Linked DNA regions of Danio rerio. The protein of the gene in region 2 purifies or fractionates together with the protein of the main gene of each other region. This does not show direct contact. Links are inferred from orthologs where the notes say so. Each region holds a gene or a part of one and is shown on either strand. Other genes may lie near its edges. The genes, in order: sqstm1, mtor and akt1s1.

Region 1 (3,069 bases), on a different chromosome or scaffold from region 2:
TCTAATGATGACATTAGATTTAAAGAGTGTGAATACTTTTTCATCTTGGATTCATCATTACGTACTTTGACCATACAAGCCTTTGAATATCTCAGATCTTTTGCAAATAGACATCTTCAATTAATAGCAATTATGTTATTTCCTTCTTTTTCAGAACGAAAAGAGCACAAACGTGATTCTTCTCCTCATGGAATTCCTGGGTTTCCGTTCACTACACCTCACTTTAGCCCTCCTGGTCCCTGTCATATGGGTCCATCTCCAATGGGGCCTCCAGGACCACCTCATATGGGGGGTCCTCCTCACCACCCTCACCCAATGGTGCACCCAGGTGTGACCTGTGACGGGTGTGATGGGCCGGTGGCTGGAACCCGTTACAAGTGCACCGTTTGCCCCGATTATGACTTGTGCCCCACCTGCCAGAGCAAAGGCCTGCACAAGGAGCATGCCCTCCTGCCCATCTTTCATCCTATGGCCAACGTGTTTGAGGTGAATAGCACTATTTTACTACATACAATACACTGCAAATGATCTGAATATTTTGGTTTGATTAATCTTTTGTGTGCAGTGGCTCCCTCGTGGGAAATTTTGGCGTAAGATGAGACACTGCATGTGGGCAAATGCTCAAGCTCAGGCTCAAAACCAGCCTCAGCCAGGTCCATCTGGAGCGCAGCAAAACCAGGATGCTCCTGAAAACCCAAATGAGAATGGTAAGCCAATCATTTAAAAGGGTCTATAGCAGAAGTCAACTCAGCTCCTGGAGGCTGAAGTCCCTCCAGAGATTAGTTCCAACCCTGAAACTGAGTAGGTTGTGTGTTTTTTTATAGAAAGAAGAGTGTTTCTACAGGTGGTTTGTCAATCCCACTCACCTGTGTAAAGCACACTTCAAATGTAAAGTTTTTTTGTAATGTGTCTTATGCAAGTGTCGGTTAAAGTGTCAAAATGATGGAGTGTGATTTCTACAGGTAGTTTTGTCAAGCCCACTTACCTGTGTGAAGCAGGTTTGTTTAATTAGGGTTAAAGTTAAACTTTGTAGAGCTGTGGCCCTCAAAAAACTGAGTTTTACACCCCTGGTCTATTGTAACAGGAGGAACTGGAACAGAATTGGGGCATGTCCAAAATTTTCCTGACTTTATTCTTTTTTTTTAATTATTATTTTATAGGTGCTACTGCCTCTTCTCAGGCTAACGTGGAGTACCTAAAGAACATCGGAGAAGAAGTGGCAGCCATGTTAAGCCCCCTTGGTAAGTCGCCTGCTTTGGTCTTTCCCAAATATTTGGTTCCAACACAATCTGATACTTCTTTGATTGGCATGTTAGGCAAAACCTCTGAAATAAAAGTGATTTTTCCTTTGTAGGCATAGATGTGGACATCGATGTTGAGCATGAGGGAAAGCGGACCAAAGTAACCCCAACTCCTCCTGCCTCCAGTGGACCATCCAGTGCTCGGAGTGACAGTGGTTCTGTGGGGCTTCTTTCTAGAGGCTCTGGTCCAGGAAGTCAGGCCACTGAAGAGAGCGTCAGTGAGGGAACAAAGGTAACAGATACCCTCTTAGCTGTAAAAGGCCTGATCGTCTCAAGTTTTCAACCTAGAAGGAGGCCACATATCATGTTAACGTTTATTCATTCTCTGTTTCAAAATGGCAGAAAGACCAATGTAGTGATGAGGAATGGACTCATCTTAGTGCTAAAGAGGTGGATCCTTCGACAGGAGAGCTGCAGTCTCTTAGACTAGAGCAGGACGGGGCAGATCTTCCAGCTCCACTAAATACTGCTTCTGGCACAAGCACCAGAGACGGTCCCACTGGTCTGCGCGAGGCAGCTCTCTACCCACACCTTCCTCAAGGTAAAGTGTATAATTATTTATGCCCAGTGATGTTCTCTATTCTAGGCTATCACTTTATATCAGTTGAAGCAATTCTAACTTTACTGCGCTCTCCTGCAGATGCAGACCCTAGGCTGGTGGAGTCTCTGTCTCAGATGCTCTCCATGGGTTTCACCGATGAGGGTGGATGGCTAACCAGACTGCTCCACACCAAGAATTACGACATCGGTGGTGCTCTGGACACCATCCAGTACTCCAAAACACCAGGACAACAGAAGTAGAGGTGGAGCACAGGAATACAGAAGACCTGGGCCATACTTAATATTTGAAGCTTCTGGCCTATTTTCTAACTTAGTCTTTCTATACTTTTAAAATGATAAATTTCCACAAATATTAACAATATCAATTACTCAGGTGACTAGTACATAGTTAAGTTCATCATTGGGCTTATATATGCAAAATGTTTGTCTTTAGCTTAACACTTGACATTATAAAGAACATTATTTTCATGTATGCATAATATTACGTAAAGGTTGTTAAGTAGAGATCTATATTTGTGCAACTTCACTTTATGGATTTTCTGTTTGCATAATCAATAAGCAGTTTCTAGATCAAGCATAAACCTGGAGGGTTTGTTAGTTTGAATAAACAGATGGAATCGGATTAATGTCGCTGTTGGTCTTCTAAAATTCCTGTCTTTTCTATCTACAATAAAACACTTCTCTAAAACATTCCTTGTGTTTTGGTGTTTTGGTATTTTGAAATGTACAGGACTAGTTATGAATACAAATGTAGATCAATGCTAATAGTTTAACAATTTATTATTATTTTAAGGAAAATATTACTTTTTTAACATTTTTAACCATCCTTGAAAGCAAACTTACCTAAAATGTGTCATCAAAGTCTTCATCTGTACAAAACAGTGGGTTTAAAGATAAGCTGGAATATGGTGCCTTGACCAGTACGGGTTTACAGACAGCATTTTCAAAGCCTACAGACTTTGTGAAGCTGGTGGTTGGACAGGATACATTTCCACCAACATCCTTCTGTCTGTTTAGAATGCCACTGTCCTTTTCATCTGCTGGACATCGGCGCTCTTCAAAATCCACACCAGTATCTGCTTTTGTGAAATAATGGATCTCAGTTTTCTTACCATTTTGAGATTCATAATCGTACACATCCTTGTCCTGAGTGGGGACGATGGTGAGAAATTTACTCCATTTGGAATCCTTGTTCTCAATTGTAGAT
Region 2 (4,321 bases):
AGCAATCATCTCCCTCTTAAAAAAGCGTACTTTTCTGATTCGACAGAGATGTTTTTAAATAAAATTAGTTTTTCTAATAAAAAAGATAGAAATTACAAAATTAGAAAAAATATGGTCTTTGCAACAAAAATATTTCTTCAACAACAAGATCAAAGTATTTTATCCTATTAAACAAATTTTTTAAAAGTTTCATTCTCATATACGGTATATGCGAAGCTAGTGTTTCTTCCCATACTGATAAACTTCCGGTTAACGGTTAATGTGACTTTTTTACATTTTATAAGGTTGCTTTTACAGCATCGATGTTGTAATGTAATTAAAATACAATCAGTTAAATAGACTTTGGCATTCATTTAGTTGCTCAAGCGTAAAACCAGACAAAAAGCCGTTAACTGGCACGCGCCCGTCAGAATCAGCAGGCTAGCGCAGAAGCTCCATTGAATATACTAGGGTAAAATAAATGTTCATATTTTAATGACATGGAGGGGGAAATGTAATTTAATGCAGTGTTTCTTGTACAATCTGAGACCCACTTTATATCGGATACCACACATATATGGAGATAGCTGAATTTTAAAGAAAACAAACCTTAAACGCGCCATTTTGTAATGGATACAGTTCACCGAAAGCGCTTAGCCCAGGTTACTGACAAACTAAAAGTCCTTTAGCATACTATCGCACCCTGTTGATGTAAAATGTTCATTTTGTCAATTTCATACTGAAACTGATTTTCATTTATTTTGGAATTATAATTATGCTGTCCAATTTTGAAAACGTATTGGCTCATTTATTAATGATAATATATAGCAAGACGTTTCTGTTAATTTTAAAGAAATTATTTTTGGTAATTATAAATCTGCCTCTACTAAAAGAAATGCTTAAATTCTATATACACAAATTTGTTTTGGAATTTACTCATACCAAACCATATTTTCCTGTTTTTTTTTTTTTTTTTTTTTTTTGCAAGAATTTAGTCATTATTTACATTTAATTGTATTATCTAAAAATAATAAAGCAAACAAGACTAATTTGCTTTGTAATGACTTTAATTTATATACTGTAATATATTCTTAAATGTTTTACCCTCAAGATTGTATCATGTTCTTTATTTTTTTTTCGTTCTTTCTTTCTCATCCTTATATCTTTTTTCATCGACAAACATTGTAATTTATACTCTGTATTGTAAGCAAATATTGAGACAAACTTGTCAACGTCAATCGGTGAGCAGCGTCAAACATTTACTGTTCTTGCGTATTTCTATGCTGTTACCATTGCTCTACGCAATTTTTGTACGTACGGCTTGTATGTGAATTGGAATTCACGCTCCGTGTGTTTCCTGATTCCGCCTGAGCAAACGGTTGGTTCAACTGGGCAGTTATGGCTGTTCATTGGCAGATGCGACGTCACTCAGTCGTTGTGCCCGCCTTCTAGTGTGCAGTTTTCACGAGTGTAACACATTTAGCGGAAAACCCTCTGTACAAGTAAGAAATATTGCCTATTTTTAAATTCACATAAAAACAGTTTGTAATGTTCTATTATTCTTATATTACGTAAGCTGTTAACAGCCATAAGTGCTAAATGATAGCTACAGATAGCACCTCTGGCTAACAGCTATGCGTTATGTTATTGTTTTGTTTCGTTACATATTATTATTTCTATAAGTATTTTAATTTAATTTAATTTTTATTCGAGTTTGAAACCGCCGAGCATGTCTTAATAATGATAACAGTACGTGAAAATAAGCTAGGGAGAAGGATTTGCTTTGGGAGTTGTAGGTTATGTATTCTTCATGCATTTTGGAGATCAACTGACGATTTTAATCTCATTCATTTGCTAATAATGTTCATTAAATTGGTATGGTTTTGAGTTTGTGGTCAGCATCTGAGCCTTGCACGTTATGAATGAACCCTATTAGATTTACTGTAACTGTTAGCATATTTGACACTAGCATAACTGACACTGCTGTCCTTATTTTGGCGTTTTTAATAGAGTGTGGTCTAATGGGACAGAATAATTAAAACGAGTGAAGAATTCTATAGATACTTAAAGGGATAGTTCACCCCAAAATGAACTTTTCCTCACCCTTTACCTCCTCTCATTAATTTTAAGTAAATACACTAAACAAGATGTTCTGATATCCATTATGGGAACAAAAAATATGATGAAATAATGTAGGTCAATGGCTGTTTTGTCCCAACAGCATTATAGAGGTAAAGTTGGTTTCATATTCGGATATTCAGACTTTCTCCTTAATAGTATAATTTCAGAAAAGTATTCTTTGCCAATTCTAAATAGGGAAATCATATAAGCAGCCAATGATTATCAAAGTACAACTTTGTTCAAAGTCAATTAGATAGTGATACTGTTGTTTTGAAGTCATACTTGCCTGCTAATTTCGATCGAATATTTAAAGTAACACGGTAAACAATATAGAGGCTTCTAAATGAACGAATGTGCGAATATAGAACCAACTTTAGCTCTAGAACAGCATTCAGTATTTCTTTGCGTTCCACAGAAGAAAGAAACTCAAACAGGTTTGCAACAAATGAATGGAAGTCTATGATGCCAGCTATTTTATCTTTGAGTGAACTCACTTTAATGACAATGCTTGTCTGCTCTCTTGCTCAGTAGTCATGGTTTGCAAAGTGGCATTATCGCAAACAAGTAAAACCATATAGAATATCAGAAAAGCCCTACTTCCCCTCTTTTCGACAGTCTGACTTTTAATGAGATTTTGGTATTATTTGTTGAAATATAGTGCATCTCAATCTGCTCCCTAGCTCCCAAGTTAGTGAGTCAGTAGGTCATGTATATAAATTTAGAATCCGGTAAGGACAGTGATGATATTGGTTCTCTATTAAATCTAATTACATGGGTAACAATGGCATATATCCAATTTATCCAAGTATGCTTGAAAGCTAAAAATGTGACCTCTAAACATAATAGTCTTGACCATTATACTTGAATATGTCATTGTTACCAATATATTTCGATTTAAGTTTCATATGTAATTGTCATATGTATGTAATAAAGCAATGTACATTGATGCTAAATAAAGGTATAGTTACAGTGGTTGGTGATAATAAGTGTTCAAAACAATAATGTCCAGAAATCGCACAGAAATAAGTTAATATTAAAAATATGAAAACTAAATTAAAAATGAGAGAAAGTAAAAAAAAATACTATTAATAATAACTAAATGACTGTCAATGCTAACAATATACACTCAGCGGCCACTTTATTAGGTACAGCTGTCCAGCTGCTCTTTAATGCAAGTTTCTAATCAGCCAATCACATGGGAGCAACTCAATGCATTTAGGCATGTAGACATGGTCAAGATGATCTGCTGCAGTTCAAACCGAGCATCAGAATGGGGAAGAAAGGTGATTTAAGTGACTTTGAATGTGGCATAGTTGTCGGTGCCAGACAAGCTGGTCTAAGTATTTCAGAAACTGCTGATCTACTGGGATTTTCACGCACAACCATCTCAAGGGTTTACAGAGAATGGTCCGAAAAAGAGAAAATATCCAGTGAGCGGCAGTTCTGTGGGCGCAAATGCCTTGTTGATGCCAGAGGTCAGAGGAGAATGGCCAGACTGGTTTGAGCTGATAGAAAGGCAACAGTAGCTCAAATAACCACTCATTACAACCGAGGTAGAAGAGAAGGGGGTTGTTGGGGTACTTTAGATCGTTTTGGAAGGGCACTTTCTATCCAAGACTGAAAAGGGCATGTGCACTGCACAGGTTGAGCCCTATGTGTGCACGTGCCTGCTTGTAACAGCGGTTTAGGCCGGTTATTGTGTAATGGTGTGGGGGATATTTTCTTTGCACACTCAGTACCAATTGAGCATCATGTCAACGCCACAGCCTACCTGAGTATTTGTTGCTGACCATGTCCATCTCTTTATGACCACAGTGTACCCATCTTTTGATGGTTGCTTCCAGCAGCATAATGCTCCATGTCATAAAGTGCAAATCTTTTCAGACTGGTTTCTTGAACATGACAATGAGCTCACTGCACTCAAATGGCCTCCACAGTCACTAGAATTCAATCCAATAGAGCACCTTTGGGATGTGGTGGAACGGGAGATTCTCATCATGGATGTGCATCCAATAAATTTGCAGCAACTGCAAACAGTTCACTGTAATTGTGATTTTGTTACATTAAATTACTGTGAAATTACAGCCATATAGTGTAACTTCACAGTAGAAAGTGAAGTCCATACTGTGATTTCACCGTATTTTCTTGTCGAATTAACTAAATTATACTGTGAAGCAGGCTTTCCTCGGCTAGTCATTCCGACATTAACCTTGACTTTGAA
Region 3 (4,327 bases), on a different chromosome or scaffold from region 2:
AAGCTGTTATAATACGCTGAAAGCATTATGTAAATAATATATAATATGTAATCAATATAGATGCATGGTGGCGCAGTGGGTAGCATGTTCTCCTCACAGCAATAAGGTCGCTGGTTCGAGCCTCGGCTGGGTCAGTAGGCATTTCCGTGTGGAGTTTGCATGTTCTCCCCGTGCTCCGGTTTTCCCCACAAGTCAAAAGACATGCGGTACAGGTGAATTGGTTAAGCTAAACTGGCCGTATGTATGTGTGTGAATTAGTATGTTTGGATGTTTCCCAGTGATGGGTTGCAGCCAAGAGGGCATCCGCAGAGTAGAACATTTGCTGGATAAGTTGGCGGCTCATTAATAAAGGGACTAAGCTGAAGAGAAAATGAATGAATGAATGTAATCAATATAACTTATCTCTAAAACAGCAACAAACTCTGTACCGCATCGGATGTTATTCCCTCGCTGTAAATGCTAGTGCTCCCGGTTTTTGTTTTGCAACCTAAATGTTTACAAACTGGTAATTTGTCTATAGTAGACGTGTATAAATTATATAACAATAACATTGAAAAATTATATATTTATAAACAGAAGACCCTGTTATTTTACATTTGATTATTAAATTTATATATCTCAATACTGTTATAACTCCACCAAAAACCACAGTTTTGTTTATTATTTTTTTTTATCTTTGTTCAATTGTTTTCATCTGTGCTTTAAATGATATTATTTTGTGTATTTTTGTATAATTGTGTATATTTTATGCAGATCAATGTAAAATTGTGAGTTTTTTAAATAGTTATCTTTTGAAATTAAATTCATATATATTAAATATATATATATATATATATATATATATATATATATATATATATATATATATATATATATATATATATATATATATATATATATAGCAAAAAATATTGCAATAGCAGTTTTTTTTTACAATCTCATAAAGCTATGTCAAACTAAGTATCATGTTAATTGCATTTCACACATTCATTCATTTTCTTTTTGATTTAGTCCCTTTATTAATCAGGGGTCGCCACAGCGGAATGAACCACCAACTTATCCAGCAATTGTTTTGGGCAGTGAATTCCCTTCCAGCTGCAACCCATTACTGAGAATGCTTTTCACACATATTCATAATAACTGTTTTCTACAGTACACATATAAGTGAAAAAATCTATTTCAGGATTGGAGTCCTTTGCATGATGATCTGGCATAAACTGTTGTTAATGGTTGTAAAACATTGAAAACGCTTGGTAAATTGAGGTGTTTTGAGTTTTTATGCTAATCGATCAACCCCCCACAAAGAAGGCATGAAAAATAGGTCGGTTGTTTTGAGCTTGTTTTTCAAAGCATTTGCGTGTTTCTCCTGCGCAATCTGGCAACCCTGGTCCGTTCCTACTGTAAACAGCGCTGTGAGCGTCGCTGCACTGGAGTCTAGGGGAGAGACAGGCACGGGCAGAAAGCTCCGAATAAAGAGGGCGTAAAAGTTTGAAGAAAAGGACGACTGTGGTAGAGGCGGGAGGATATTAAGAGAGTAAGTCAACTTCTCGTTGTTCTTTTCTCGAATCGACCCGATGCAGTTTTGATGAAGCATAATACATTTTAGCAGCACTGCTAATGCTGGAGCCCATTGGCCTGTGTATTTCACTTGGCTACTTACCAGTCAACTGATCAACAAGCTCTAAATCAGATCATGTTGTAGTGCATAAACCCTCTGCTTCGCTACTAATACTGGCTGATGAAGTGCATATTAAAGCTGACAGTGACAAACAAAAGCTGCAGAAATCAAGCCTGGCTGCCAGTCTGTCCCGAAAATGCGAGAGACGCACAGATTCGCTGCACAACAGGCCTCGAAAATATTTCTTTTAGCCATTTACAAAAACTAATTCTCATTTACAAGAGTACGTCCCAAACATACGTGTACGTGTGCTGCACGTGTGAGGGAATGGAGGCGTAGCTATCAATCTGAGTGGGGGTTTAAGGAACAGTACTTGACGAGTTTGATGACCAAACAGGTTTTCAAGTTGATCTGCACTTACAAATCAAAGTGCATGTTTGTTTCGCCCATGTAAGTTCGATATATGCATATAAATATATCACTTTATATATACATTTTATTATAGCAGGAGCAGCTGTCCCTGTTTACTTGGGGGTGGTTCATGATTTTGGGCACTCAGAAATGTCCCTGTTGCAGAGCATGGTTAACAAATACAAAACCTTTGCTACTTCAGCTATGAAGATCTGAAGCTGAACAAGAGCAGATACTATTATCATCATTTATCAAAAGGCATGCCATTATAGGTTTCAAAATATTCATTCATTCATTTTCTTTTAGGCTTAGTCCCTTTATTAATCGAGGGTTACCACAGCGGAATGAACCACCTACTTATCTAGCATGTTTTACGCAGCGGATGCCCTTCCAGCTGCACTGGGAAACACCTATACACACTTTTTATATGTTTTATACTCAATTTAACCTACCCCATTCACCTATAGCGCATGTCTTTGGACTTGTGGGGGAAACCAGAGCAGCGGAAGGAAACATACGTGAACACGGGGAGAACATACAAACACCACATGGAAATGCCAACTTCTTGCTGCGAGGCAACAGTGCTACTCAATGTGCCATCCCACCGCCCATTTTCATAATATCCACATTCTACAAATTCATGGTAAAGAAAGTAATTGTGGTTGTAGGGCTGCACACAATATATAATTTCAGCATCAATATCACAATGTGCGAGTGCGCAATAGTCACTACGCAGGGATCTGCAATGTAGTTGGGATAATAGTTGACCAGACATTACAGTTAACAACATAGTGGAGTCGTTTTAAATTTTAACCTTATTATTTGCATGTGTTTTAAGGCCTGTGACTGTCATCATTTATGCAAATTTAAGTAATTTGGGCACAATAAATTGAACATTTGTAGCTTAAATGTACATTATATAATTATTTACTCAATGAAAATGATACATTGTTGGGTTGTTGTTATTATACAGTGATTATTTAATTTCTGTTTATGAATACTGTTTGACTCCCTATCAGAATCATAAAGCATAGTTTGTTTGAATTTTTTTTTTTAACTTTGCTTGTCATTTTTAAAATATGCCTATATTTTACGCAAATACACCCCCTACAGCAGCAATCAATCCCAAATTGATCCTAAATTATGAATTTTTCACAAGCTATTTAAGTCATTTGGTCAAATTGCATTTATATCACAATATATTGTAGTAAATAAAATATTGCAATGTCTTTTTTTCCAAAAGCCTGTATTGGCTTTATGTAGGGTGTGAATTATACATTTGACGATTTCAAAATATTTTTTATAATTTAAATAAACCTATTTAAGGATGACCATGAAAGATGTATTTTTTTATTTTACTGTTTAAATTCCATCTGCAAGAAAGTGTATAATAAAATACAATCTATACATCATGTTTTACGTACTCATACAGTAGGCATGGTTTGAAAAATTCAAGCCTTTAAAACTGCCAAAATATTCTGCTATATCATTCCTAAAGTATGTGTAAGATTGTTTTTTTATATATTTAAAAAAAAAAACAATTTTTTAGGACAACAGTATCTCCAGCAGAAAAGATATTCAAAGATGCCGTTTTAAATTTTACAGAAATCAGTGTTTTTTCAACAAATGAAGACAGCAGAAGTCAATGATTTATTTGAATTATTTAGCCTGACATGTTTACTGTTGAAAATGCATTAAATGTTTCTCAAAATGAATTATATTGTGTTCAAAGGGGAAAAAGTTTTTGTTTTTAACCCAGACATTAAAAAAAGAATATATTTTAGAGCAGTAATCATGAGACCATCAAACCATGATATTTTTATCCAAGTTTATAATACCGTTCGAATCATATCTTGCAGTACAAATGCCTAGTTTACTAGAAATGTTTTTTATGCTGTCTATTGGTTCTCTAGATTTGCCCGTTCCAAACTGCTAAATCAATATTTTTTGACGCAAACATGCATTCACAATGGTATAGACTAGTGGTTGTCAAACTTTTTTCATCATGTACCAACTCAGAAAAAAATTCTCTCCAAGTACCACCATAATGACGAGGCAGATTAATTCCCATTATTAATGTCAGTCACTTTAAACTCATAAATAGTTTGAACATTAACACTACTGTTCTTAAAGGTAAAAATAAATAAATAAAAAGTCAACGTTTAAAGTGTACTTTTAAAAGTGAAGATGGTAGGCTAGTGTTCTTAAAGTAAAATAAAACTGCTGTAGTTAACTGTAAAGTATTAACAAATAGTAAACTATTTATCAAAACCTGGAAATGTTGCTTGGACCTCATAA

The links.
Region 1: the proteins of mtor (region 2) and sqstm1 purify together in Homo sapiens (affinity purification with western blotting; 4 studies listed by BioGRID, with this or other methods). This does not show direct contact. The link is inferred for Danio rerio from reciprocal best matches to the Homo sapiens genes MTOR and SQSTM1.
Region 3: the proteins of mtor (region 2) and akt1s1 purify together in Homo sapiens (affinity purification with western blotting; 8 studies listed by BioGRID and IntAct, with this or other methods). This does not show direct contact. The link is inferred for Danio rerio from reciprocal best matches to the Homo sapiens genes MTOR and AKT1S1.

The regions. Positions count from the first base shown.
Region 1 is NC_133189.1:19,144,510-19,147,578, forward strand, and holds the end of sqstm1 (sequestosome-1), read left to right. Parts: exon of another isoform or gene 1-154; coding exon 155-486; exon of another isoform or gene 487-565; coding exon 566-707; exon of another isoform or gene 708-1,160; coding exon 1,161-1,241; exon of another isoform or gene 1,242-1,354; coding exon 1,355-1,533; exon of another isoform or gene 1,534-1,585; intron 1,586-1,643; coding exon 1,644-1,842; intron 1,843-1,941; coding exon 1,942-2,102; 3' UTR 2,103-2,552; downstream 2,553-3,069. Other genes in the region: mrnip (MRN complex-interacting protein), read right to left, coding at 2,706-3,069. UniProt on the Homo sapiens protein: Molecular adapter required for selective macroautophagy (aggrephagy) by acting as a bridge between polyubiquitinated proteins and autophagosomes.
Region 2 is NC_133183.1:56,043,798-56,048,118, reverse strand, and holds the start of mtor (serine/threonine-protein kinase mTOR), read left to right. Parts: upstream 1-1,422; 5' UTR 1,423-1,481; intron 1,482-4,321. UniProt on the Homo sapiens protein: Serine/threonine protein kinase which is a central regulator of cellular metabolism, growth and survival in response to hormones, growth factors, nutrients, energy and stress signals.
Region 3 is NC_133178.1:28,981,403-28,985,729, forward strand, and holds the start of akt1s1 (proline-rich AKT1 substrate 1), read left to right. Parts: upstream 1-1,429; 5' UTR 1,430-1,534; intron 1,535-4,327. UniProt on the Homo sapiens protein: Negative regulator of the mechanistic target of rapamycin complex 1 (mTORC1), an evolutionarily conserved central nutrient sensor that stimulates anabolic reactions and macromolecule biosynthesis to promote cellular biomass generation and growth.